Linked DNA regions of Drosophila melanogaster. The protein of the gene in region 1 interacts with the protein of each later gene in a pairwise test. Each region holds a gene or a part of one and is shown in the gene's direction. Other genes may lie near its edges.

Evidence for each region.
Region 2: the proteins of CG32772 (region 1) and Echs1 interact in a two-hybrid assay, tested with the Drosophila melanogaster proteins (one large-scale study listed by BioGRID).
Region 3: the proteins of CG32772 (region 1) and alpha-Man-IIa interact in a two-hybrid assay, tested with the Drosophila melanogaster proteins (one large-scale study listed by BioGRID).
Region 4: the proteins of CG32772 (region 1) and CG9302 interact in a two-hybrid assay, tested with the Drosophila melanogaster proteins (one large-scale study listed by BioGRID).

What each region holds. Positions count from the first base shown.
Region 1 is NC_004354.4:4,907,127-4,915,313, forward strand, and holds CG32772 (uncharacterized protein), read left to right. Parts: upstream 1-1,975; 5' UTR 1,976-2,193; exon of another isoform or gene 2,194-2,325; 5' UTR 2,326-2,632; coding exon 2,633-2,671; intron 2,672-3,725; coding exon 3,726-4,052; intron 4,053-5,254; exon of another isoform or gene 5,255-5,385; intron 5,386-5,616; coding exon 5,617-5,749; intron 5,750-5,818; coding exon 5,819-6,003; intron 6,004-6,077; coding exon 6,078-6,657; intron 6,658-6,719; coding exon 6,720-7,018; 3' UTR 7,019-8,035; downstream 8,036-8,187. Other genes in the region: CG6927 (uncharacterized protein), read left to right, coding at 1-279, 334-1,481.
Region 2 is NT_033778.4:13,851,404-13,857,164, reverse strand, and holds Echs1 (Enoyl-CoA hydratase, short chain 1), read left to right. Parts: upstream 1-2,833; 5' UTR 2,834-2,966; coding exon 2,967-3,063; intron 3,064-3,259; coding exon 3,260-3,984; intron 3,985-4,049; coding exon 4,050-4,115; 3' UTR 4,116-4,218; downstream 4,219-5,761. Other genes in the region: tum (tumbleweed), read left to right, coding at 1-612, 668-744; CG6553 (uncharacterized protein), read left to right, coding at 1,413-2,190, 2,247-2,428; CG30485 (uncharacterized protein), read right to left, coding at 4,347-5,761.
Region 3 is NT_033777.3:9,410,136-9,418,985, forward strand, and holds alpha-Man-IIa (alpha-Mannosidase class II a), read left to right. Parts: upstream 1-2,412; 5' UTR 2,413-2,558; coding exon 2,559-2,672; intron 2,673-2,725; coding exon 2,726-3,255; intron 3,256-3,587; coding exon 3,588-5,060; intron 5,061-5,294; coding exon 5,295-6,357; intron 6,358-6,453; coding exon 6,454-6,603; 3' UTR 6,604-7,129; downstream 7,130-8,850. Other genes in the region: Task7 (TWIK-related acid-sensitive K[+] channel 7), read right to left, coding at 622-895, 951-1,351, 1,406-1,467, 1,534-1,689, 1,753-1,882. UniProt on the Drosophila melanogaster protein: Catalyzes the first committed step in the biosynthesis of complex N-glycans. It controls conversion of high mannose to complex N-glycans; the final hydrolytic step in the N-glycan maturation pathway.
Region 4 is NT_033779.5:13,375,000-13,381,254, reverse strand, and holds CG9302 (uncharacterized protein), read left to right. Parts: upstream 1-2,716; 5' UTR 2,717-2,897; coding exon 2,898-3,555; intron 3,556-3,604; coding exon 3,605-4,216; intron 4,217-4,279; coding exon 4,280-4,542; 3' UTR 4,543-4,800; downstream 4,801-6,255. Other genes in the region: beta'COP (coat protein (coatomer) beta'), read right to left, coding at 1-260, 496-1,078, 1,141-1,760, 1,879-2,233; CG6565 (uncharacterized protein), read right to left, coding at 5,415-6,044, 6,104-6,255.

The sequences.
Region 1 (8,187 bases):
ATCGTTTGGAACGACCCATAACTTATTCGGAAACTGGCCAGCGGCTACCGGTGGACGTCTATATGCGCGCCTACATCTACTTCATGCAGAACCTGGAAGCACACGATCTACAGTTCAAGATCTATGCGCTCCTCCAAATGCGATACCTCGATCCGCGTCTCAACTTTCGCAACGTAAGTCCCAAGCGCAGGCAGCCGATTTTGGGCGAGGAGCACCTGAGAAACTCGCTCTGGATGCCCCACATATTTCTAGCCAATGAGCGCGACTCCAGTATTTTGGGTGAGTACGGTAGAGTCTGGAGTAGACTCGTGCTTGATTGCAACTAATTGGTAGGTCTCACGGAGAAGGACATCCTCACCTCGATATCGCCCGATGGCACAGTGATCGTTTCGAATCGCATCAAGGCGACACTCTATTGCTGGCTCAACCTTAAGAAGTTCCCATTCGATGAGCAGCACTGCTCGACGGTGCTGGAGAGTTGGATGTACAATACGTCGGAACTGGTCCTCCACTGGGAGCAGAAGCGTCCGATAACCTACGATGGGGCACTGCATCTCACCGAGTTTGTGCTGCAGCGTTCCTGGTCAAACGAGACGGTAATCAATGCCGATTTGAGTGACCTGCGTCATGGAGCCTTTGCCGGCAACTACAGCTCCCTCAGCTTCACCGTTCACCTGACGCGAGTGGTTGGCTTTTACCTGATGGACTACTTTCTACCCTCCATGCTGATTGTGGCCATATCCTGGGTATCGTTCTGGCTGCAAGCAGATCAGGCGCCGCCGCGCATCACGCTGGGCACCAGCACCCTGCTGACATTCATTACCCTGGCCTCGGCACAGGGAAAGACTCTGCCAAAGGTTAGCTACATCAAGGTGTCAGAGGTGTGGTTCCTGGGCTGCACCATCTTCATATTTGGCAGCATGGTGGAGTTCGCCTTTGTTAACACGATTTGGCGTCGTAAGAAGAGTGTGCCCGTCAAGAAACTGAACAGCAAACACATCCTGAAGTCAACTCTATCGCCGAATCTGCTCAGACGACGCAGTCACGCCAGATCCAGATCCTTTTCGGGCACGGCTCTGCATAAGACAGCGGATACCGGCTCGCTGGGCGGTGCCGGTTTCAACAATTACCTAACCGTCAATTTGCCCATCACCACGATTAAGGAGGGCCAAGTTCTGGATCAGCAGAGGACCAGCCGCGTCGTCCAGAAGATGGATGTTAACTTTGTGGAGAGTGCCTTTGGATCCATGGGCTCTGCCCAGTCCACTGGAGCGATCAGTGCTGCCAGCAGCAGCCAAACTTTGACCAACAATAACCGAACGGAGAGCGCGGGGCACCAGGAGGAGATCGATCTGAGTGGCTGGACCACGCTAACGCCCCAGGAAATAGCCATGTGGATTGATAGTCGAGCCAGATTCGTTTTTCCGCTCTCCTTTCTCGTCTTTAATCTGTTTTTCTGGACATTTGTCTACTGTATTTAAAAAAAGGTCCATTTCATTTTATTATTAGATTACACAGTAGATTTAATATTGTGAAAAGTATCCAATTTAAAGTGTTTATTATTTGTACCCATCGTTTAGCATAGTTTGTTTAATTATTGTGAAAGTTTTGTATTATGTTTGTTTCACTTTGTTCTGTAAAATGATTTTATATTTATTCTGTTGTAAAATAAAGTTCATGATTCTATGGCTGCCTAAAAAACACCATCAATTATTTAAATAAAATAACCTATGATAAAATAAATCTTTCGGACTTGCAATTAAATATTAAATAAATAATAAATTAAAAAACTTGTTTTCAACAACGATTCCATTACCCGCCTCGTTTTCGATTACGGAAATCGATAGAAATATCGATAGGCCAGGCCAAGGAGCACCGGCCAAGCCAACCTGTGGGTTAGAGCAGCACAACTATACCGCGTATTCTTATCGTATTCGTTTTTTCCCCACACATACACACACACGGCTCACGCATACAGCGCAACAATAACATCGGGCCCCAAAAAAAAGGGAAAAAAGACGACGGACAAAAACTTCGTCGTGAATTGTAAAATACAAAAAAAAAACGCATTCGAACGCGCTGGTTTGTTTTTTTTTTCACGTGTAACTACGCCAAAAAAAGGGCAAAGGAATTAAGCAAAAAAAAGAAGCAGAACTTCGAAGCAGCAACAACAACAGCGCCGCATTTTTGCTTGTATGTGCAAGTGCAAGGCAAACATAAACAACGCGCGTGTGTGTGTGTACCACGAAAATATCGTATAAATCAAATTTCTATATCATTTATATAGTTTTTTTTTTGTTTTTGCCATCATAATATGCCATATAGCGATCACCGAAATCCAAACGCAAACCAAACTCCAAAAAGTTAGTTTCAAATACAACCACACATCGTTTGGATCGTGTTCACAAACTTATAGTAGGAAGGAAAAGGAAAAAGATAGAAAAAAAACGAACTAAATAATAATAAACGAAAAAGAAAAACGGCGCTGAATGTTAACCGGTAAAGATAGCGGTAAATTGCGAGGGAGAAGGACGACAACAACAACAACAACGACCGCAGAGGGGGCAAAAGTCAGCAACAAAGTGCATCCTCCTTCTCCTGCTCCCCATCCTATTCCTTATTTACTGTTATAATGGACACCATCTGTAGATTGTGCTTCCAAACGGCAACGGTATGTTAACAAAAAAAAAAAGATATACACACATGTGATTTAGGTATATACACTTTGTTATTTCTATTGATTTTTTTTCTTTTGGTGGAGTTTAAACAATTGAATTCGCGCTACTGTTATTGTGCGGGCGGGTTGTTGGCGCAGGGGGCGGGGTTCAAAAGCGCGCGCATTGCCCCCCTTTCCCCACACACATACAAACGCACACACACAGAAATAAGAAATACACATACACATGCGACCCCAAACTATTGCTGAACAATTTTTATTTTTAGCCAACTCAGCCCGAAAAGTTGTTCAAGCCGACAACTTGAAAAAATATTATTTTTACATTTTGCTTACGCTCGCCACTCGCTTTTCACTTTGACTCCTTTTCAACCTATTCCCCCGAACAGGCCCCCCTCTTTCAGCCCCCTCCCGCCGCCCATGAACCGCACAAAAAGAAATACATATTAAAACAAAATGACAGAAATTGCGCCAAGGCAGCCAAATACGCAGTGGCTGCGCGTTAATTTAGTGACAGAGGGTTTACTATATTGGGCATCTAAGCCCAAAAATTTAAAGTTAAGCGGTTATAAAACTAACAAAACAGATCTAACTTTGCTTGGTTTTTAGTTCATTATTTAAACAATTACCAAATAACCCCTTTTTTGTAGGCGACGCCTCTGCCGCCGCCGCTGGCAGAGCGGCGGCAAAGCAAAACAAAAAGCGAAAGAATAACAAAACGTTGTACCGAAGAAAAAAAATAACATGAAATGAAAACAACAACAACAAAGCAACGAGCTGCTGGTGCTGTTGTTATTGTAGTTTCTTTTCTTTCTTTTTCGCTCTCCATGTGTGCGTGCCTGTGTGTGTGCGTGTGTTTATCTTCTTGGCTCTTATTTCTAGTTGGTGGAAAAGAGAAAGGGCTAGTTGGCATGGAAGGGGGAGGGTATGTGTGGAATAAGATTGAGTTGCCACAATAAATAAAGAGCATTATTGGTTTTTTTTTTCCAATTGGAAGCACTCTCTAATTCACGTGTCCTGTTCTGTTCTATTCTATTCCCCCGCCCTACAGTTGTTCCAGGTGCCCGGCTATAGCATACCCACGTGCGTCCGCTGCTCGGAGCAGTTGACAAATAATTCCAACTTCCATCAGTCGGCGGCGGCCGCTGCAGCCGTCGCTGCCTCTGCCTCGGCCGCAGTTGCCGCCTCTGCAGCAGCGGCGGCCACCTCCTCGTCGACGGCCTCCTCCAGCGACAGCGACGCCATCGCGCAGCAGCAGCAGCATCAGAATCCGCAGCAGCAGCAGCATCAGAACTCGCAACAGCAACAACAACAACAGCAGCAAATGCAATCATCCAGTTCTTCCGAGAACCTACAGTCGCAGGACGACTCCGAAGACGTAAGTCCATTTCAGGGATTGGGATACCAAGGCAGGGAGAGTGTTGCAAAGGGCATAGTGAGTGGGTTGCACTACGTGTAGTGTTACGAGAGGCATGGCAAGAAGTGGCAGCGAATACAGTGCTGCAAAGGGCTTACTAAAGGAGATAAATAAAGTAAATAACTGAAGGTCGTTCTTATTTTCAACTAAAATATGAACGTCTTGAATATGTATATTAATATCTATGAATAAATTTAAAATTTAATCCTAATGTTTAATAGTCCACGAAAAGTGTTCTATGGTTTAGGAATCCAATCAATGCAATTGCCCATCAAACTATAAATGATTCAAAAAAATTGACAATTTAAACCTAATTACAGAGTTCACTGCAATCCTCAGTAGATGCATTGCATTTGGAATTATAGGGGTTTGAAGACCCCCATCAACCGTTTTCAGAAGAGTGCTTTACTTCCCAGGGAGTTCGACTCCTGCTCCTTTTGCTGCACTTGTTTATTATTGTTGTGCTATTTTCTCTTCATTTTCTTACATTTCACTACTACTCCCCCGCTCACAAAAGTCTTACATATACATATACATAAATGCACACGGACACACTGCACATTCATAGCCGCTGCTTTTCTTCTTCACTTCTTATTTCGCCGTTTCTTTGCATGTTCTTGTTGCCTTTCTTTTTCCATCATGCAACAGAGAATTGCAAAAAAAAAAAATGTATAAATAAATGTAAAATTGCCTTGCGACGACTTGGGAATGCTCTATTGCAGACATGTTTAGATACTATTTACTATTGCTGCTATTTACATAAATTTCAAAAAAAAAACTTCAGTACAGTCTCATTCCATCACACAGTCGACGTGGTAGTGTTGGAAAGTTCTTATAGAAGATTAAAAACGGTAGGCCCTACAGATATGCATTACAAACGGGTTAGAAAAGTGTTGAGCGTGAGAGTATTTTCTATTCCACTTGCTACATTTCGCACTGCTCATTTTCTTGTTTTCCTTTATATTTATATGTATATATATATATATATATAGATATATGTATATACACATATATTTTGTGCTTCTTTTTCCATTAATATCTGCTCTGTCGACGTCGACGTCGAAGTCGACGCAGCTCGGCGTTTTTGTGCGCTGTGTAAAGCGGAAAAAATTCATTTTCAGTTGGCGCTTTTGGTGTGTGGGTGTGCGTGGCACGCAGAAAAATAAATAAAATAATTATAATAAAAAAAAAGCTCGTGAAAAATATTAAATGTAACTCAAGTGATTCCCCAATAAACAAACTGAATTCGCACGGGAATTTGCAATCCGTTCTTTTGGCCGCCAGCTTGTTGAGCGTGAGTGGGAGTGGGAGGGCGATAGTGACACAGTGATGTGCACTTGGCTACTTATTCGTTAGAACTATATGCATATATAATGTACAGCTTAGAAAAAAGGTTTTTCGCATAAATTTATAGTAGGTTGTATTAAAGTAAAATGGCATATCATATATAATGCCTTTCTGATGGAAGGTAACCCGCGGTAGAAGGCAAGCCCTTTGCAACTAATGTTCGATTTGTTTCTTTAAGGTGGATCTGATATTCAACGAGGAGGGCTCCTGCCCGCTATGCAACAAAACTTTCTCGCGCAAATCCTCGCTCATGACGCACATACGAAATCACTCGGCGGAGCGTAAGTTTGTGTGCACCTACTGCCACAAAGGTGAGTCCCATATGCCGTTCGCACACATCATCTGGTTCTTAACAATCGATGTACCTCTTGGATTTTCAGGCTTCACGCAGGCGGCCAACTTGCGGAACCACGAACGCATCCACACGAACGATCGGCCATATCAGTGCGTGGACTGTGGCAAGACCTTCACGCAGATCACCAATTTGAACAATCACCGCCGGCTGCACACCGGCGAACGGCCCTTCGTTTGCAATGAACCGGAGTGCGGTCGCAGCTTCGCCCAGGTCAGTTCCAAGATAAATTGATAAATTGCAGAGGATTTATGATAATAACGGCTCGATATGTTCTCGCATTGCAGGTGACGAACCTGAACAACCATATGAAGTCGCACCACAAGGTGCAGCAGTACTGCTGCAACGTGTGCAACAAGAAGTTCACGCAGGTGACCTCGCTGAACCAGCACCTGCAGGCGCACGCTGGGGTCACCGGCTACTACTGTCCGCGTTGTCCGGAGAAGAACTTCAAACTGCAGTCGCAGCTGCATACGCACATGAAGACCCACGGCCTGGCCTTTCCGTACGAGTGCGACAAGTGCGACGAGAAGTTCCTGCAGCAGGCCCATCTCGACCAGCACCTCAAGATGCACGACGAGTTCAAGTTCAAGTGCGACATCTGCCCGAGTAGCTTCAATCAGGAGTCGCTGCTGAAGAAGCACGTGCAGCGCCATGTCGAGGGTCGCTACCTCTCCTGTCCGGTGGCCAATTGTGCCGAGTCCTTTGCGGTGCGCCAGCACCTCTCCAAGCACCTGCTCACCAATCACGCCCACCACGAGCTGCCGCCTCCGAAGCGATCCAAGAAGGCGGGCACGCTGCAGACGTCGCAACAGCCGCTGGCGATGATCGGCCAGCCGTTGTCACTGCAGCACACGACAGGGCAACGTAAGTGCTCACCATTCACTCATTCACTTTGAATCTCACTACGCCTTTCGTTGCATATCCAGGTGGGCGTCCGCCGAAGAACAAGAACAAGGCGACAACGCTGGCCGCCACGGCCATCAAGATCGAGATCAACGAATCGCTCCACAGCCAGCATATCAGCAATGTCAGCGGCCTGTCCATCCAGCAGCAGATCAATCAGCACATGCAGCAGCAGGCGGCACAGCAGCAGGCGCAGCAGCAGGCGGCACAACAACAGCAGCAGCAGGCGGCGCAACAACAGCAGCAGGCGGCGCAGCAGCAGCAACTGCTGCACTTGCCGATGGGACAGGCGGTCAAGGCGCGTTTCATACCCACTAAGTAGGCTAGTTAAGAATGGAAAGAAGGTCTCTTTTAGCTTAAGCCCCGAACGATCAGCTGCTAAAGTCCCTGATTAGCATAGCCATAGCCAAAGTAGCATCACATTCAGCACATACACACGTAAAATATGTTAGATATATGGCGCGGATGTTTTGGAGTCTCTGCAGATCTCTAAATACTTTTGGGTGTCTGAAGTTGATGTAGAAATCATTCTTTATATGCGTTACCCGTGGAGTTAAGCGTATGCTGGATTGGTGAAAAAAAGGTATGGAACAGGCAGTAGGAAGCGTTTTCGTCCTTGAATTCTGAATCAGAATGGAATGGGGGAGTTAGTCGAGTTCATCGATTAAAGCTAGCTTTTAGTTTTTCTGAGATGCACTTGTCCTACTCTCGCATTGAGTTCAGCATCAACTTTTTGGGTATCAGAATCCACTTAATTATCTTGAAATCGGCGAGTGGACTTCCAAAACATCCCGAATTTAGAGTCGGCGGCAAGCTGCTGGTTCAGTTTGGTGTCTGTCTCCCACTTCCTGTTTTGAATTCAGCAGCCAAAGCAATAGAGGAACCAAATGCCCCTGAATAAATTTCCAAGAATATTAGCAGCAATGCATGACATCGAAAGAGATAAGGAGAAAAAGCAGCAGCACCAGATGGACAGACAAAAACACAACTGACTTATAAAATTATGCACATAACACCCACATCTATATATACATTATATTATATAAACATGAGATCGGGTTGAGAAATCTGTAAAACTTAAATCGAATTAAAATTTTATTGTAATGCAAAGGCGCAGCGAAACGGAAAATATAATGTTGAAAAAACAAAAAAAAAAAAAAAACAGAAAGCAAATACAAATTACCTACAATTGATAGTAATTACGCATAGAGAAAAGTAACGAAAACAAGAAGTGAAAAACAATTCGATTAAATTCGGTATGTATTTATGTTAGGCATTAGCTTAAGTGTTTTTATTTTTTTTTTAATAAACCATTACAAAAAATCAACATTAAGAAACGAAAACAAGCCGACAAATTTTCATTACAACGAAAGATTTCTTCTGAATGGGTGAAATTTGTTATATATTTTGAATATATATATATAAATATTTCAGAAGTGACACAAGCGATCAGTTTTATATAATACATATATGTATATATAGTTTATTTGC
Region 2 (5,761 bases), on another chromosome or scaffold:
TGATTGTGCACTGCGTAAATGAGATTGAAGCCCGCGGCCTGACCGAGGTTGGCCTCTATCGATTGTCCTCGTCGGAGCGGGAGTACAAGGCCCTCAAGGAGCAGTTCCTGCGAGGCAAGGCCACTCCACATTTGGGCAACACGGATATCTATGTGCTGTGCTGTTGTGTCAAGGATTTCCTGAGGTCCCTAACAGAGCCTCTCATTCCCACCAGCCAATGGAAGGATTTCGCAAACGCAGTCCAAAATCCTGACACCAAAACTGCCCAGGATATGTTGGTTAAGTCGGTGAAGCAGCTACCACAGGCCAATAGGGATACGCTGGCCTTCCTCATACTGCACTTCCAACGAATTGCCCAGTGCCCAGTCGTGCTAATGCCGATCGATAACATCTCGCTCATCTTTGGCCCCACCATTGTGGGCTACTCCACACCAGATCCCGACCAGCATGCGATCTACACGGAAGTTTTCACCCAGAAGCAGGTGATGAAGGCACTTCTTGAGCTGCCCGTTTCGTTCTGGGAGCAATATATCGTTATAGATCCGACAAGAACACCGGCCACAGTTATCAAGCGGGTGCCAAGCAACAAAAATGACTTACTCTCGCTATATGGTGAGTTATTTATGAGCTAATTTTTTTAATTATTCTAATTATCTCTCCTTCACAGCAACTCCCTTCAAAGGAGGCACCATTAAGAAGCGGAAGTTTTACGGCACACCGCCGGCATCTGCGCACAAGAAATAACGAGACTTTCCTTGTTGGAAAGCATTTGACGTGTTACTTAAGTTTACTTCAAGTATTTTGCAAGTTTTTTGTTTCCGGCCAGCCAACCCCGAGCTGTATTTGTACCCAACCCAACCATAAGCTTTTCTTTATAATTTATGCGTTCGATTATAAACTAAAGCACGTTATTATCGTACTAACATAAGTATACTCACCAGAGAAATAAACTAAAATATGCATTTGAAAAGCAATAAGAACAATGAACAAATATATAAATAAACGATAAAAGAATATAACAAGTTTTTATTCAAGTTCAAATATTTTTGAATCTGTTTAGTGAACTTACTTTTTTATATTCTTGATGGCAAATTATTGGAGGCATGTTAGTAACCAAAAGTATATTAAACATTTCCGGATTTGGATTTGGAAACGGGAATGTTTCGCCACAAAACGTGCATCACAACTAATGGCAAACTCGATACAACTTTGGAATATCCCTTTGATAGGATTATCTAAAAACGTGATAAGCTCGGTCATTGAAAATACTGACTGCCGCTCAGAAAACCCCATGACTGATAATTGTGCACAGCTAGAGCCGTATCATCATCAAACTGGTTTGGACAACTCTCGTAATAATACCCTTAACTGCGCCATGGAACCGTCAGTCTGTCGATTGGAACCCATTTAGAATGTTCGGAGCGCATCAGAATCTCTCAATTCAGCTGGTGATTTTTCTCTCCTTAGCCGTCACCATTTGCTTGGGATCCCAAAATGCCACAAGCTGCGGGCATCGCTGTGGAGGAGGCGACTGTATCCAACTGGACCAGCTGTGCGATGGGAGCGCCAACTGCTTGGATGGTTCCGATGAGACGGTCGCCATGTGTGAGAAGGTCTGGTGTCCGGGTTATGCATTTCGCTGCAGCTACGGTGCGTGCATAGCCAGCACAGCGGTTTGCGATGGCGTCCAGGACTGCGTGGATGGTTCGGATGAGCAGGGTTGGCTGTGCCGGGCGCAGATGCAGCAGGCTAACTGCGACAACTGGGAAATGTACTGCTCCTCTGGCCAATGCATGACCTATTCCAAATTGTGTGATGGCATCCGTGACTGCCGAGATGGAGACGATGAGCTGGAGTCCCTTTGCGAGGGCGTTACCATACCAACGACTACAGTCAGTTCAACGACAAGTACAACTACGGAAAGTAGTATCCATAGGATAACTCCCACTGTTCCTGTAACAAGGAAGGCGTCACGACCAAATCCTCTTCAGGAGAACGGGGAGTGCGTGGTTCCCCAACTGCCAAACGTTATGGTTAAGCACTTCACAGATGCAATCCTCACTGTAGGATCAAGGGTAGCCAATGGCACCCGTATCTACTACGACTGCCCGGCGGAGCACAGACTGAAAGGCGAGAACCAGAACATTTGCCAGGACGCATTGTGGGCTAGGAAGTTTCCTTACTGTGAAAGTAAGTTGTGTATTTATCAAAAGTTTCTTCATTAATACTAATTTATTTACTTTTAGCACCCCAAGCGTATGTTTTCAGCTTGGTTATAGTAATATTCTGCTTCCTAATCGTGGTATTGGTGTTTCTAATTTGGCGGGTGCGTCGAGAAAATGGCTCAAGAAGGCAACGAGAGGAGCACATTTGGCTGGTGGAGACCAGCAGTAATCTTCCCCAGACATCTTCAATACCAAAGGTCTAGGAATTAATTTTTACAAAGCTAAACATGTGATCACGCATACTTACTTATTTACCAGCCAAGTTGTTGATAAAAAGTACTGTTAATTTCAAACTATCTAGGCTTATCTTATGTAAATAATGTTATTTCAAGTTCTCCATAAAAATTAAAAGCTTAAATACGAATGTATATTTATTTTTAGAGTAAAACGTGAGAAGTAGTATTATATTGTAAATATATTAAAACAGATTTAAGAACATAATAATTGTGTTATTAGGTTGCACATTTTAATTTCGGCTGTTAACAATACTTTTGCGTTAACAGCTGTAATGCTAGAACCACTTGTTGCTGCGACCCAAACTGTGACTGAAACAGTGACTGGAAATAGTGGCATTTCTGGTGGGAGCGAACGCGGTCACACCTGCCCCACTAGTGCGCCAATATTGCTCCAGTGCTTCGCAGCGTAAGTATCCCAAGTTCTAGAGTGGCTCCATGCCAGATACCGCCACAGATTAGATAACGAATTGCACTTGCAGCCGGCTCAGAGTTCCTTCAATTGAAAATGGCCAACATTGCTAAGATCTTCGCTAGCCGCGCCCAGTGCGTCCTGCAGGCAGCCGCCCGTCAGCCACAGGTGGCCACCCGTTTCAGCAGCTCCTGTAAGTAGATGGTTGATTGCGAGGGATCAAAGTCCACGCGATTGATGCCCAGCTCCAACCTAAGCCGGAATATCAAGATATCAAGTGCCGCCGGTTTCTTGGCGACATCTTTTGTACTTTTCCAGGCAAATAAACATTGATTGCGTAACATTCGCGCACATACGATCACCTCATTTATGATGCCATCTCTTTTCAGCCACCAACAACAACTGGGAGTACATCAAGACCGAAGTGGCCGGCGAGGGCAAGAACGTAGGCGTGATCACCCTGAACCGCCCCAAGGCCCTGAATGCCCTCTGCAATGGCCTGATGAAGGAGCTGTCCACCGCATTGCAGCAATTCAGCAAGGATAAGACCATCTCCGCCATCGTTTTGACGGGCAGCGAGAAGGCCTTCGCCGCTGGCGCTGATATTAAGGAGATGGTGGGCAACACCTACTCGCAGTGCATCCAGGGCAACTTCTTGAACGACTGGACAGAGGTGGCCCGCACCCAGAAGCCCATCATTGCTGCCGTGAATGGTTACGCCTTGGGCGGTGGCTGTGAGCTGGCCATGATGTGCGACATCATATATGCCGGTGACAAGGCCAAGTTTGGTCAGCCTGAAATTGCCCTGGGCACCATTCCCGGTGCCGGTGGCACCCAGCGTCTGACCCGCGTCGTTGGCAAGTCCAAGGCCATGGAAATGTGCCTCACCGGCAATATGATCGGCGCCCAGGAGGCTGAGAAGCTGGGTCTGGCCAGCAAGGTGGTGCCCGCCGACCAGTTATTGGGCGAGGCCGTCAAGCTGGGCGAGAAGATCGGCACCCACTCCAATCTGATCGTGCAGCTGTGCAAGGAGGCGGTTAACACGGCTTACGAGACCACTCTCCAAGAGGGCCTGAAGTTCGAGCGTCGCACCTTCCATGCCACGTTCTCCACGGTTAGTTCAAGTTTAAATATCTGCTTAACACTATTTAATCTCTTGTATTTTCTTTCATCCAATAGGCCGATCGCAAGGAGGGCATGACCGCTTTCGCCGAGAAGCGCCCTGCCAAGTTTACCAACGAGTAAATACTACCCTAATCAATCCCAGCCAGCTTTGCATTTATATTATCTAAAAGAAAAACTGTTGTTTCTACGCAATTAAAACTTTAATCGTGATAATTTGAAAATGAACAATTTACCATAATTTGTCATTAGTATATGAGGTATGCTAGTCCGCATGTCAGGTGGTAATCCATTAGTATAAACATGGTATGGCCACTTGACAGTCGGCTTGCTAGCCCGATTATCCTCCTATTTCTAATCGAAACAAAATAAGTGCTTAGGTGACTTCCATGGTTGTGTCTTGTTGCTTTCGAGTTTGGAAGGCATGTTTTTTGGAAAATTGTGCGCTGTGTAGCGTTGCCTTCGTGAAGAATATTCAATCTCATGGAAATCTATACCTCCCCGTATCCTTCTCGAGCCATGTGGATTTTTATAGTGCCTGGAGGCATCGGAGTCATCGCAACAACGAGCTAAATGTCGATAATTTCGTGACCGTGAGTAGTTCTTATCCCTGTGCATGGGACAATGTTCTGTAAATCGGAAACGATTCCCCTTTGGTTCAATCACACAGGGATCACTTAGTTCGGTGGTAAACTCGTAGTTTCGATATGTAACCAATCCTCGACGTATGCCCGGATTTTGTGACTCAGTTGGCCGTGAGGTGAGCAAGTAATCTGTGCACGGCCTGCATTTCTCTACATGCCTCTTAGCCCGCTTTTTGCGCTCCCGATGTTCCTCCCACTCCCGCTGGGCACGGGATACCAAAGGCTGAGGAACTTGACAGGGAGCTGTCTGGCGTGTATCATTTGAGTGGCAGCTCCAATGACTGCAACTATCCGAGGAACAACTTCTGTTACGTAGTGGGGATTTCTTTGCTTGCGACTTCTGATAATTCCTGCCTCTTGGTGGCCGCCTGGAACAGGATGGTTGCCCAAAGGAGGAGTTGGTACTCCTGTACGTAACGATTTCTGAGCCCGATGTGTGCGTATTTCGTATCGAATTGCCTCTTTTCTTTATAGTTGTAGACCATAACTTGGGATCTCTTGGTCCGCGTATATCCAGGATACTGTCCTGATCCCTGAAGGAGATTTTCCTGTCCAAAGGATTCATTTCGCTGCATATTACACTTTGCTTAACTTTTTGATGCTCCAGATCAGAAGTCTCCCTGAAATTTATAGACCGGGGGCTATGCCTAGGTCTTTCGCTCACCGATTGATTCGACTTAAACTCAATTGCTTTAGATCCTGACCAGAGAAATCGCTTGGCAAATGCATGTAGTCTGGGCAGCAGGCGTGGTTTCTTTGAGAGATGTCCATCTGAATCTGCAGTCAACTTTCTTGAGATAAGTCCCGGCCATCTGGGATTACTTTTGCATGTAGAAAGATTATCTTCCCAGTCAAGTGAACTGTCAATTGGAGCTCCTTTCCGATTTCTACTGTGTCCTAGTCCAAATGACTTAAGATTCTTGGCACGCGAACAAGTTAGATGATTGTGGTGATCGAGAGAATCTGAGCTAGTTTTCTCAACGATCTGTTGATGTGTGGAAGTGCTGCAGGTACATACATCCTCACTTTGATCTGAATAATCCCGACTGCAAATGGTTGGCTGGATACATCTTTGGCGCACTCCACAACTCCGCCTGCTGTCAGCCTCCTTTAATCGCCGCTTCA
Region 3 (8,850 bases), on another chromosome or scaffold:
GCAAAAATCGGCAAAAGACTGAATATTTAAACGTATAATTTTTCAGGTTTAGATTTTAGTCGTGTACGTGCTAGCTGATACTGAGGTGAACTGAACCTGGCTTGGATTACTACACCGAATGTTCACAAATAGGCTACTACGATTTCCGACTTCGACACATTTCACACACCCCGATTTCAGAAAACTCAGTTCTCCGTTTTGAGCACAAACTTTAATAGTACTTACATAGATAAACGAATATACGGCTAAAATTCGAGATGGGATGGATTTGGCGGTGCCTTGGAAGCAATAGAGGATTCCAAGGCTACCGACCAGATGATACGATTGATATTGACATGGATGTCCTGGATTTTACTCCTTTGTAAATGTTTATATGGGTGTATAATGGGATGGGTCGATTATTTCTTAAGCAAAAACTGCCTTTTAAAGACTATTAACCTTGCTCTCCAAACTTATATGTATTATGACCCATCCTGGTTTAAAAATCTACGTAGGGAGGAAGGTTTGTCTAACAACCAAATTTTGGCGGCGGATGGTTCTCTACAGGATTGTAACTACGATTTGGTGATCCATTGGCTCTGGCTCCTACAATGAGGAGTCCCACAGCTGGCTGTACGGATATCAGACGGAGGCTCGCTTCAGGCACAAGGTGCTCTCGATAATGTCGGTAGGCTGAAAGTCCGGGTCCACGAACTGCTCATGATTCAGGCACCTGGTGCCACCCATGCAGGTGCAGGAACACAGGGAGGCGGTCTCATCGTTCTCCGTTGTGTAGTTGTTCTCCAGCAGCTTGCCGTGCATATTGTACGTGGACTCATCATCGAAGGTCACCGGCTGGGCATTTCCAGCCAAGTTCTGAGCATCCTGCTCATCTCTCTTGGCATCCTCTGCTTGCCTGTGATTAAAAATCCATTAAATAAGATATTTCCTGCAATAGAACATGGACTCACATGGTCATGAATCGGAGCACCAATAGATTGATACTGGCGGCCACCACGGCCAAGCCGAATAGGATGAAGACCAAGCTCAGCGCCACATAGCCAGGCTTATTAGTTAGAGCTTGGTCGTTCTGCAATGCCACATAATCGCCGAAACCAATTGTCGTCAAGGTGACAAAACAATAGTAGAAGCTATCGAAGTAGCTCCAACCCTCGTATCGGGAAAAGACTGCTGCTCCAGTGGTGATTATTATGGAGGAGAGCATTCCGGTGGCCAACATGAGATTCATTTCGGTGGCATCCGTACAGCGAGCTCCACTGGCTCTCTTTGCCCGCCTTATTATCACGGATGCAAACTTATTCAGACGTTCTCCGATAGACTGGAACATCACCAGACCCAGCGGGATGCCCACCTAATAAGGGAATATCTTTAGAAGACTGGAAATTGGGATTGTAAGTTCACTTACCATAGCATAGCCCATACAAAATGCTTTTCCCGGAATTGTAACTGGCGTAGAATGACCATATCCTAAAGAAAGTTACAACAGAATTATAATCTATTCAATAAATCATATTTAATAGATAATTAATTTACCTATCATTGCCAGTACAACCGTGCTGAAATAGAAAGCTCCAGCGAATTTCCACTGAGGTCCGGCCTTGTGGGGCTTATTTTCAATGATGACGATTTCCATCACACGGAAATCCTCGTCAGTCACATTGTACTTTCTAACAAAGTTGTTCTTAACGGCTACAATTGATTAAATAAATTCATTACTAAGAAATTAGGTTAATAAATCAACAAGCTTCTCACTCTGTAGGAATTCCCATCTTTTGGCCTCCGTTGGTGACTCCAGGGAATCGAACACGGCGGCTCCAATTAAAAGATAGGTGAAAGTGCATACCACCAGGGAAAGGGTACGGACATTCTGTCGCTTCATCATATAGTCTCAAATATAATCACTACGATCTATAATCAATTAATATATTTTGCACCACGCGCCTTTTTCGTTCAGTTAAAGATGCTGCGTCTGACAAAATCGATAGTTGTCAGCAAAACAAACACACAGCATCCGCCAAAAATGGTTGATTTCGGTTACAGTGGCCGAATAACATATGATACAATGAATTTTAAAAATTTCATCATTCTTTAAATATGTAATAAGTTTTCTTTTATCTATTGATTTGACCGTTAATCTCAATAAAGGATTGTGATTTTACCGTTAGTTTATCACAACAGAAGCAACAGAATTTGATGGCGTTGCCACTTGGCGGTATCTGTTAACTCTGTACAGCTAAAAAGCTGTAATGTCACGATAACTAAGGATAATAATAATTTTTTTAAAGGATCAATATACACAAACAACATAAGAGTTTTATTACATTTTCTTTAATTGCCTTTAAAGTTTTTGTCTTTCTAAGCCATTTTAACAATTTAACATTTTGCAGTTAGCAGCGCCGATAACTTGACAGCCTATCGATTTTCGGGAAAAGCAAACATATCGCCAGATCTGATTTGTTTATGCTAAAAAAAAACCACGCAAGTTCCAACCGATTGGATTGTTGCAGTTGGCTGCTGTGTCTCTGACGTCGACGTTTCCATGCTTAATTAACCGGAAAATGTTGCGAATACGTCGGCGGTTCGCTTTGGTAATTTGCTCCGGCTGCCTGCTGGTTTTCCTCAGCCTGTACATAATCCTCAATTTTGCGGCGCCGGCAGCCACCCAGATAAAGGTAAATAAATGCTTCTAAATCAATTCGAATGTATAATAACTTCTTTATTTTAGCAGCCCAACTATGAGAACATTGAGAACAAGCTGCATGAGCTGGAAAATGGTTTGCAGGAGCACGGGGAGGAGATGCGGAATCTCAGGGCGCGTCTTGCCGAAACATCCAATCGCGACGATCCAATAAGACCTCCACTTAAAGTGGCTCGTTCCCCGAGGCCAGGGCAATGCCAAGATGTGGTCCAAGACGTGCCCAATGTGGATGTACAGATGCTGGAGCTATACGATCGCATGTCCTTCAAGGACATAGATGGAGGCGTGTGGAAACAGGGCTGGAACATTAAGTACGATCCACTGAAGTACAACGCCCATCACAAACTAAAAGTCTTCGTTGTGCCGCACTCGCACAACGATCCTGGATGGATTCAGACGTTTGAGGAATACTACCAGCACGACACCAAGCACATCCTGTCCAATGCACTACGGCATCTGCACGACAATCCCGAGATGAAGTTCATCTGGGCGGAAATCTCCTACTTTGCTCGGTTCTATCACGATTTGGGAGAGAACAAAAAGCTGCAGATGAAGTCGTAAGCATGCTTTCCCTATATAGTATTGATACAATAATGAATAACGGTAGTTAACCCACAAAACAAAGTGCAATGCCATTTTGCTATTGCATTCCATAAACCTTACACAGTTGTTATGTGCAGCAGTGAAATATTTTACTTCGTTATTGCGTCAAAAGCGTTTAGATAAACAAAATGCATGATCACGCTGCTTGTTTTCCGAAACAGCTTTGTACTTATCTACCTAATATTTATAACCCAAAGCAGAAATAGGAATTGATAAGCTTTGCAGTCTCAACAACTACAATATTTAGTTTTTAACAAAAAATAATAAATTATTTACTTATTTACAGCATTGTAAAGAATGGACAGTTGGAATTTGTGACTGGAGGATGGGTAATGCCGGACGAGGCCAACTCCCACTGGCGAAACGTACTGCTGCAGCTGACCGAAGGGCAAACATGGTTGAAGCAATTCATGAATGTCACACCCACTGCTTCCTGGGCCATCGATCCCTTCGGACACAGTCCCACTATGCCGTACATTTTGCAGAAGAGTGGTTTCAAGAATATGCTTATCCAAAGGACGCACTATTCGGTTAAGAAGGAACTGGCCCAACAGCGACAGCTTGAGTTCCTGTGGCGCCAGATCTGGGACAACAAAGGGGACACAGCTCTCTTCACCCACATGATGCCCTTCTACTCGTACGACATTCCTCACACCTGTGGTCCAGATCCCAAGGTTTGCTGTCAGTTCGATTTCAAACGAATGGGCTCCTTCGGTTTGAGCTGTCCATGGAAGGTGCCGCCGCGTACAATCAGTGATCAAAATGTGGCAGCACGCTCAGATCTGCTGGTTGATCAGTGGAAGAAGAAGGCCGAGCTGTATCGCACGAACGTGCTGCTGATTCCGTTGGGTGACGACTTCCGCTTCAAGCAGAACACCGAGTGGGATGTGCAGCGCGTGAACTACGAAAGGCTGTTCGAACACATCAACAGCCAGGCCCACTTCAATGTCCAGGCGCAGTTCGGCACACTGCAGGAATACTTTGATGCAGTGCACCAGGCGGAAAGGGCGGGACAAGCCGAGTTTCCCACGCTAAGCGGTGACTTTTTCACATACGCCGATCGATCGGATAACTATTGGAGTGGCTACTACACATCCCGCCCGTATCATAAGCGCATGGACCGCGTCCTGATGCACTATGTACGTGCAGCAGAAATGCTTTCCGCCTGGCACTCCTGGGACGGTATGGCCCGCATCGAGGAACGTCTGGAGCAGGCCCGCAGGGAGCTGTCATTGTTCCAGCACCACGACGGTATAACTGGCACAGCAAAAACGCACGTAGTCGTCGACTACGAGCAACGCATGCAGGAAGCTTTAAAAGCCTGTCAAATGGTAATGCAACAGTCGGTCTACCGATTGCTGACAAAGCCCTCCATCTACAGTCCGGACTTCAGTTTCTCGTACTTTACGCTCGACGACTCCCGCTGGCCAGGATCTGGTGTGGAGGACAGTCGAACCACCATAATACTGGGCGAGGATATACTGCCCTCCAAGCATGTGGTGATGCACAACACCCTGCCCCACTGGCGGGAGCAGCTGGTGGACTTTTATGTATCCAGTCCGTTTGTAAGCGTTACCGACTTGGCAAACAATCCGGTGGAGGCTCAGGTGTCCCCGGTGTGGAGCTGGCACCACGACACACTCACAAAGACTATCCACCCACAAGGCTCCACCACCAAGTACCGCATCATCTTCAAGGCTCGGGTGCCGCCCATGGGCTTGGCCACCTACGTTTTAACCATCTCCGATTCCAAGCCAGAGTGAGTAGCCAGTTAAAGATTACCCATTTATCAAAGGAACAAGAATCCTTTCCGTACTTTCTGTATTAATTGTACATTTTCGTAACACGTTTCGCTATGCCGTTTCCTTAAACCATTATAGAGTGCAGGTTTTATTTATTGATATTAATATTTCATTAACCAGATGCCGTAATTGTCTTCTATTTATACTATTTATTTATACTTTTTCAATAAGCATTTCAATGTTACTTACAGGCACACCTCGTATGCATCGAATCTCTTGCTCCGTAAAAACCCGACTTCGTTACCATTGGGCCAATATCCGGAGGATGTGAAGTTTGGCGATCCTCGAGAGATCTCATTGCGGGTTGGTAACGGACCCACCTTGGCCTTTTCGGAGCAGGGTCTCCTTAAGTCCATTCAGCTTACTCAGGATAGCCCACATGTACCGGTGCACTTCAAGTTCCTCAAGTATGGCGTTCGATCGCATGGCGATAGATCCGGTGCCTATCTGTTCCTGCCCAATGGACCAGCTTCGCCAGTCGAGCTTGGCCAGCCAGTGGTCCTGGTGACTAAGGGCAAACTGGAGTCGTCCGTGAGCGTGGGACTTCCGAGCGTGGTGCACCAGACGATAATGCGCGGTGGTGCACCTGAGATTCGCAATCTGGTGGATATAGGCTCACTGGACAACACGGAGATCGTGATGCGCTTGGAGACGCATATCGACAGCGGCGATATCTTCTACACGGATCTCAATGGATTGCAATTTATCAAGAGGCGGCGTTTGGACAAATTACCTTTGCAGGCCAACTATTATCCCATACCTTCTGGTATGTTCATTGAGGATGCCAATACGCGACTCACTCTCCTCACGGGTCAACCGCTGGGTGGATCTTCTCTGGCCTCGGGCGAGCTAGAGATTATGCAAGATCGTCGCCTGGCCAGCGATGATGAACGCGGCCTGGGACAGGGTGTTTTGGACAACAAGCCGGTGCTGCATATTTATCGGCTGGTGCTGGAGAAGGTTAACAACTGTGTCCGACCGTCAGAGCTTCATCCTGCCGGCTATTTGACAAGTGCCGCTCACAAAGCATCGCAGTCACTGCTGGATCCACTGGACAAGTTTATATTCGCTGAAAATGAGTGGATCGGGGCACAGGGGCAATTTGGTGGCGATCATCCTTCGGCTCGTGAGGATCTCGATGTGTCGGTGATGAGACGCTTAACCAAGAGCTCGGCCAAAACCCAGCGAGTAGGCTACGTTCTGCACCGCACCAATCTGATGCAATGCGGCACTCCAGAGGAGCATACACAGAAGGTGAGCTTAGAAGTTTATTATATTAATATCAAAGAAAGTGGAAATGGTATTTATTTATAATTAACAATATTGTTTGACTAATTGTTCGTTCGTCAGCTGGATGTGTGCCACCTACTGCCGAATGTGGCGAGATGCGAGCGCACGACGCTGACTTTCCTGCAGAATTTGGAGCACTTGGATGGCATGGTGGCGCCGGAAGTGTGCCCCATGGAAACCGCCGCTTATGTGAGCAGTCACTCAAGCTGATCGCAACGTGTTATGGCAAAGGATAAAGCAGAAACTGAAGCCAAGCGACCATCTCACAACCTATGAATCTCGGACGCTAATCCACTGCAATACAGGCAATCTTCGTTTAATGTTCGACTTAAGCACTGACTGCACCGAAAGACGTAATGCGTAATCCATACTACGTATCATTTATTTATTCAAGCTTCCACACGAGGGTTTGGAAATTCAATCCTATGACGCAGCGGTGTATTTTTCGCACCCCCGTGTAACTACACGTTTTACTCTGTTTCCCCTAGTTTTTTACGTTTTTTTGTGATATCCATCCAGTCCCACAGCAAGCAATACATGTCTGTACTCGATATCCCCAATGGGGTTATTGCCTATAACAATGAATCGTAACTATAACTAACGTTTAACTGTAAAGTAGGCTTAGTGATAATGACGCAACTGCAATGATATTAATCTCGACGTTTGTTTTTTACAAATTGAATAAAATTGAGTCTCATTTAGAATCGACTTTTACGTGCTATTCTAAACTAAAAACATAACGACTGTTTTTATTCGAAAAAGGAAAGGATTTGTATTACTATTCAAAATCGTCATTTAGGCTTTAGTTAGAATCGTGTTGTTGGTAAGTTATGAATGCACTTTCTATGAATATTTAATTTTTCTCAGTAAACTAAAATAAATACATTTTAATTTAATTTTTAACATTACATTTAATTTTTTTTTTAATATTGTAAGTAATGAATGTTAGTAAACAGTTGATCTTTGCATTATTAAGTTTTGAATTTATGTGGATTATGAAACGAGCTTTTGAGACGACTAATTAAAGCCATAATCATGAGTTATAGTTTTAGTGGATGAAAAACAGAATGCAATCTTATCAGCTCCAGTGCGGGGTACTATTATTGCCAGAATGACCTACAGAGATAGAGATACTAAGAGCGCGGAATTGGAAAATGCACAATGGAAATGGAAATCCGGATTGAGTGTAAAGTGGTTGTTTTGGATAGAGAGCGAATCGCTGCGCAGTTCGCTCTCTTCAAAATCCGAAACGAGCAACGAAAGCAAAACCGAATCCGAATCGGAATCCGAATTCGTATTTGTATCTGTAAGATACGCTCTCGCGCTCTCTTCAACGACGACCATCGGAATTTTTCTATACAGAAACAAAAATCTCAGTCAGCTCGCTGTTTTCAAGTTTGGAATCCGCATTTCAGTTCAGTTGGATTCAGTCACAGAGTCAGAGCGTCAGATTCAGATCATCGTGGTCGCCAGTGAGTTTGTTTATATGTTTGTGGCTGCCTGTGTGTTTGCTTGTCAAGTTCTGCAACAAAAACAAGGCATCTAAACAAAAGTGGTTCAAAACAATTACGAGGAATAAAATCCAACTAAAACGAATAATAAAACACACAGTGTCGCTTAAATCGCAGAGTATCTGCAGCTCTAGTTCTTGTTGTTGTTGTTTTTTGAGGCGGACTGGAATTTAATTTAATTAAATCAAGTACGAATGTGTGCGTGAGTGTGTGTGTGTGTGTGTCTAAGCTGGGTTCTTGAGTTGTTCTTGTTCTAAGTTCTTTTTTTCGTGGCGTGTATCTGTGTGCGCGTGTCGTGTGCTGGTTTGCGTGTGCTTTTTGTGAACTACGTTTTGTTTCAATGCCAAAAAAAAGTATCTATGCCCTGGCATGTGCTCTCTCTCCATCTCTCTCTCGCTCGCTCATGCTGGTTACATAAATACTGGTAGAAGAAGTGGAAGAGATGGTGGTGAAGAAGGAGGAGGCGGAGGTAACAGAAATTGAAATACAAATTCAATTAACACCTGAAAACGAAAATCCAACTGGAACGCAAACGTCTGATTGGATAAGGAAAATAGAAAACGGGCAAACATGTGTTTGAATTTCCAACTCGTCTTCTTCTTCCCGTCCCTATGAAATGTTCAAAAGCAAAGCTCCTTGAAAGAGGAGGGTATAAAAGAATGTGGAAAAGAGCAGCAGAACCAGAACGAGAACACCAAAAAAAGAAAACGAAATTAACGACGTCACATAAAAGTGTGTCAAAGCAGCAGCTCACGCACACCAGCGTGCGCCAATTTGTATCTGTGTGAAGCTTTAGCTCTCTCCCTCTCTCGCACCGTCCCTCTCATTCGCTGATAAAACGCAACGCACACAGCGCGTATACATAATTTATATATTTATTTAAATGTTTTTCGTTTGCTCGCTTCGAACAACGAGTTTTTCTCGTTCTAAGACTGTCGCCTTTTAT
Region 4 (6,255 bases), on another chromosome or scaffold:
CTCAAAGTCTCTTCGCATAACCGCCGTCTGGTACTCCAGCACGGACAGCTGCAGACAGAAACTGATCACGTTCAACTCCTTATCGCCGAGGTAAATACGATTGTCCTTGGGCACGTAGCCCAGCAGATACATTGTGCGGTCTAAGTGGGATACTGTCACAATCTCGCCGCCCACGTAGTAGTTGATGCGGTTCACCGAGTTGGTATAGATGAAGCAGTCTCCCACCCAAAGTCCTGTTTTGACGCACTCCGAAACCTCGCCTGCAACACAAATGCATAATACAATACAATTATACTTTCTTGCTATTATGTGGTAAATGGAAATATTTTTTTAAATTTAAATTTAAAATAGTTTGCTCTCATGGTGAAATACAGAGTAAACCATTGTTGTATGCTCTCTATAGGAATATTGAAAGCGGAATCTCATTTGAGAAATCGTGTTTGAGACACGTATTCTAAAGATAAGATACATATTAGATAATTGGTATCAACTTACCCAGCACATTGAAAGCGCTCTCCACACCATCATCCTCCAGTCCCTCCTTGGTCTCTACGGCATTGGCAACCTGGGCAGTGTCCACCCCCAGGACAAAGTAGGAGTCATCTGTGGCCAAGCAGACCAGACTGCCACTTTCGTTCCAAAACACATTCTTTGGCTGCACCTCGATGCGCCTCACCAGTTGCAACGTCTCCCAGTCATAGAAGGCCAATCCGGATGAGGTTTTTACACCGAAATAGTAGCCACCGTATATGCTCTCGGCTCCGTACTCTGGAGTAAAACTCTTGCGCTCCTTGAAGTTGCGAAAGAGTCGAACGGTGCCGTTGTTCTCCCTGATGGCGTACTCGTTGCTCTCGAGGGCCCACACAAATTCTTGCGCGGAACCGAAAGCCTTATTTCTCAGGGCCATCGATGTGTAGATGATGTACTCGCCATCGCCGCATACAACGACGAAACGACCGTTGGGATTGTGAGCAATGGTCTGCGGGTAAATCTCGCAGGCGCCCATATCCTTGGTGGCAACGGGCAAGCGTTCGCCATCCTTGATCTCTGTGCCATCAGCAATAGTCTTTAGATTGACCTTTAGAAGAAAAGAACGAAGTAAGAAATAAAGTTGAAAGGATATGTTATTGTCTAACTAACCTGCTGCATTTCGGAGTGCTTGGCCCAAATGATCTTGCTTCCCACAACGTCCATAGACATTGCTGGCTCCTCGCGGCCCACCTTAATGATGATGGAACCCTCATCGTAGCCCAGAGCCACGTTGTTGGTGCCGCGCATGCTGGAGATGGTCCACACCCGCTCGAAGCCGTAGTTGAGGCAGGTCTCGAGGCGATAAGTGCCAGAGTGCCAAATGCGGACGGTGCCATCTTCTGAGCCAGTCAACACGATCGGCAATTCCGGGTGGAAGCAGACTGCGGAGATATTCTGAGCATGCCCCTCTAAAGTCTGCACACAGGTTTTGTTTTGGTAATCCCAGATTTTGACCAAACGATCGTCAGCACCGGAAATCAAGTATGGCTTATCGCCACCATGGTAATAATCCACACAATTTACACCCTTCTCATGTCCTTCCAGCGTAAAGTTGGCGAAATTAGAGCCCAACTGCCACACCTTGACAGTGCGATCCAGCGAGGCGGAGGCAAAGGTGTTGTTGTCCTTCGGGTTAAACACGATCTGCATGACGTAGTGGGTGTGGCCCTCGAAGACACGCTGGCAGGCCCACATCTTCTCCCAATTCCAAAGCTTGATGAGCATGTCATCTATAGAATAAAGAGGAAACAGGAATAAGACACGAAACCGAAGCATACTTCCCAGCTGGTGCACTAGGTAAACATTGGGTGACGAAATGGGAGTCACACCACCCCGCCGTTCACTTACCACTGCTGGTCAGCACCAGCGGCTGTGTGGGATGCACCGCGATGCAGCGCAGATAGTCCGAGTGCGCCTCGAACGAGTGCACCTTCTCCAGGGTGTTGTAGTTGAACACACGGATCTGCATGTCATCTGAGCCGGTGAGGATCCAGTTCTTGCGTGCCACGAAACGGGCGGAGCGCACAGGCACGTCGCAGACCTCGAAGTCCTTAACCATTTGCTGGTTCTCATAGTTCATGATGTGTACGTGGCCATTGTATAGGGCGCACAACATCCACGGCTCCGCCGGATGGAGATCGACGCACTTGACCCGATCCGAGCGCGACGTCAGGCGACGCTTGATGTCTAGTTTGAGAGGCATCTTCCACGGTTTGGGCCAACTATGGCTGTCTGCGAAAACACTAATTAATTGCGGCGAGACCAAAAAAACTCTTTTGCTGCCTCCGCTGCTCTTCTTCTTCGCTTCGTTAATGTGTCAGAGCTGGCATAGGGTTGTCGCCTGCCACGTACAGGCGCTGCTAATCGGCGTATCGATAGTCGCAAGCTCTTTGGATATGGCTATTTTTAACCTAATAAAAATTAGCTTTCAATTAATCTTTTAATAAATCAACAGCTGTACCTGACTTAAAAGCTGTTCGTCATTAATATTTTAGTACAGTGCACATTTTAGTGCACATGTATTTGCAATTGTTTTCCAATATATTTATATTTAGTATTAATCCTTTAATATTAATTTTAAGTTATTTGGCCGCTAGGCTTGCTAAGCGTCAGCACTGGTTGGTGATGGTACAGGTGTTTTTCGAATAGCCGGCACTTTGATCCAAGCTGTTATTGCCATCTCCTTCAAAGTTGCCTATCGATAGGTTTCTCAACTAGTCCACGTCTTCTACTTGCGGTTTTTCTTTTTGTAAAATAAGAATGACGCTTTAATGTTGTGTTAAACATGCAATTACCTAGAGCGCACTAACTAGTATAGCATCAGTTAGGTCAATTGTTACCTGTAGGTGTAAAGTTCAAGCCGCCTGATGTGGATAACCGGTCAGTTTGTTTTTCTTCTGCTGGTGGCACTTGTTGCCGCAAAATCGAAAACCTCGGCGGTGCAGGATGACATCGCGGAGTATAAGGACTTCAAGAAGCTGCTGCGCACCAAGAACAATGTCCTCGCGCTCTACGTGACCAGTGCGAAGTCCGCTGCTGCTGAGCTAAAGATATTCCGTGAGGCGGCGGAGGCGATACGGGGAACCGGGACAATGTTGCTGCTAGATTGCGGACAGCAGGATCGCAAGAAACTGTGCAAGAAGTTGAAGGTATCGCCGGACCCCTACGCCATTAAACACTACAAGGATGGCGACTTCCACAAGGACTACGACCGGCAGCTGAGCGTCAGCTCCATGATCACTTTCATGCGTGATCCCTCCGGCGATTTGCCCTGGGAGGAGGATCCAGCCGGCAAGGATGTCCTGCACTTCAGCGATGCCGCATCCTTCACAAAGCATTTACGCAAGGATATCCGGCCCATGCTTGTCATGTTCTATGTTCCGTGGTGCGGATTCTGCAAGAAAATGAAGCCAGAGTACGGAAAAGCGTCTACGGAGTTGAAAACTAAGGGCGGTTATATTCTGGCGGCTATGAATGTAGAGCGACAGGAGAACGCTCCTATACGCAAAATGTTCAACATAACTGGTAAGTTAACAATTTTTGCTTAGTTTTAAATTAAACGATACATTTACAGGTTTTCCCACCCTGATTTACTTTGAAAACGGCAAGCTGCGCTTTACATACGAAGGAGAGAACAACAAGGAGGCTTTGGTGTCTTTTATGCTCAATCCAAATGCCAAGCCAACGCCAAAGCCCAAGGAACCCGAATGGTCGGCGGATACCAACTCGGAGATTGTCCATCTCACCTCGCAGGGTTTTGAGCCCGCTCTGAAGGACGAGAAGTCCGCCCTGGTCATGTTCTATGCACCCTGGTGCGGACACTGTAAGCGCATGAAACCGGAATACGAAAAGGCCGCTCTGGAGATGAAGCAGAAAAAGATTCCCGGCCTTTTGGCTGCGTTGGATGCAACGAAGGAGCCGTCAATCGCAGAGAAATACAAAGTCAAGGGCTATCCAACTGTTAAGTTTTTCTCGAATGGCGTCTTTAAGTTTGAAGTAAATGTACGCGAAGCATCGAAAATTGTTGAATTTATGAGAGATCCCAAGGAGCCCCCACCGCCTCCGCCACCCGAAAAGAGTTGGGAGGAGGAGGAGGACAGCAAGGAAGTCCTATTTCTGGATGACGACAACTTCAGTTCGACGCTGAAGAGGAAAAAGCATGCGCTGGTCATGTTCTATGCACCCTGTAAGTTTTGCCGCTTGATTGTTAAACATATTTAAAGCTCTACTAAAGACTAACCGTCTTCAGGGTGTGGACACTGTAAGCACACAAAACCGGAGTTTACAGCGGCTGCCACGGCCTTACAGGATGATCCTCGGATAGCGTTTGTCGCCATCGACTGCACAAAGCTTGCCGCGCTCTGCGCAAAGTATAACGTACGCGGATATCCCACCATTCTGTACTTCTCTTACCTCAAAACCAAGCTGGATTACAATGGCGGACGCACCAGCAAGGACTTTATCGCCTATATGAACAACCCGCCTACCTCAGCGGACCGCACAGAGCTGTGATACGCTGTTGCAAAGTATAACGATGCTTCTCCCACAACACTTTGCAATCTCACTTTTTGTATTACCATAAACTGTATTCGTTCCGTTCAGTTTACAATCAGCTTGAATGTCGTCTAGACTATCGAATATTTTATAGAATGTATGCGCATTTTGTAACTATATAGCATACTAATAAATTATGTTATAACTAATAGTATAATTTCATTTTTACTGCGCTTATCCCTCTATAATAAAATAATAAAATTTAATTAAAAATATAAATTAGTATGTTAAATACCATATCAGATTAGTGTAATCCTCTTAAGCCAATTTGATTTGTATACAGTGCACGATAAGAATAGCCGAAGTTCGGGTGAGAAATTGTAATTGAAAAAAGGTAATTCAAGATAATGCTTGACCAATTATTTGATAAGCACGAGTGTTACTATCTGGTGTAGATAATGTTATGCATGAATGAAAATTAATGCCGTAAAATATCAATAGTTATGCAAGACATTGCTTTTTTGTAGACTTCAGTCTCTGGGTGTCTATTTTCGTTTCTTTTATTGTACAATTAATTTCAATAATTTCTATTTGCGTTTAAAACAATTTCTAAACTTAAAATATTTTGGTTTAGCCATATAGCTAATATAGGTATATATTTATTTTTAAGTTTCTCATCAAAGTGGCACTCATGTTAAGAGCAAAACTTCCACCTATTGCACACTTGCTCTGATGTTCAATGGTTTCGATTTCTCTCGCCTGAATTTTAAAGCCGATCGAAGGGATGAACATAAGATGGAACTGGGCTTTCGGATGGTTTGATACGTGGCTCTGTTGGGCAGGGAGGTCTCATGGGAGCGGGAGCAGCCAGGTATATAATGGTAAAGGAGTTAACGACCTGCTTCGGGTTTACTATTGACCTTGCGCCGGCTCAAACTGCCCAACCAACTGCCGCGTTGCTCATTAGCCGTATATTCGTCATTGATAAGCGCGAATCCGTGAAACATGTCCTTCATCTTGATGGCCCGTGAGCAGGCGTAGTTCTTGGTGGCCACGTACATCTTGGTGAGGAACTCGGGCATTTGTTTCTGAGTAACCCAGGACTTAATATTCTGCGGTATGGGTATGCCCGGATCGTCGAAGTACGTGAGGACAAAGTGGAGGCCTGGCTCATGGAAACCGCGAAAGGGCTTGATGACCATCAGGCTCCAATAGTCAGTGACGCGAACTTTTCCAGACAACGCCGGATAGGTGTTGTGCGTGGCTCCGCGGTTGCAAATGAATATCAGCTTCTTGTTGTCGTCTTTTATGTAGCGGCGACAATAGACGTAGTCGCGATTGGCGAACAGTCGTGGCCACTGCATCTCCCAGTATATCAGATGCGAGTTGCTGCCCGGGACGGGATCCTCGCTGATGAGCTCAAGTCTTAGGGCCGTGTCGTCCCACTGGCGACGGTAATCCAAATCCGTTTGAACGTGGAGGAAGTCGTCCGCTGTGATGTCGTCGAATCGAGCATAAACCTGCAAACGGAAAGGCGGCATAAAAGTGAGCCCTAAAAAACTTTTAGATGGCCTCTTACCTTGTATGAGTATAAGGAGGAGCGCTCCTGCCGCCGCCAAATGCTGAATTCGTTTTTGCTAAAGTACGGCTCCCATTTTTGGTCGTCCTGGGCCTGAATGCGTACCGTTCCGGCCGGTGCATTGCGCACGTCCAGATCCAACGGTCGCAGAC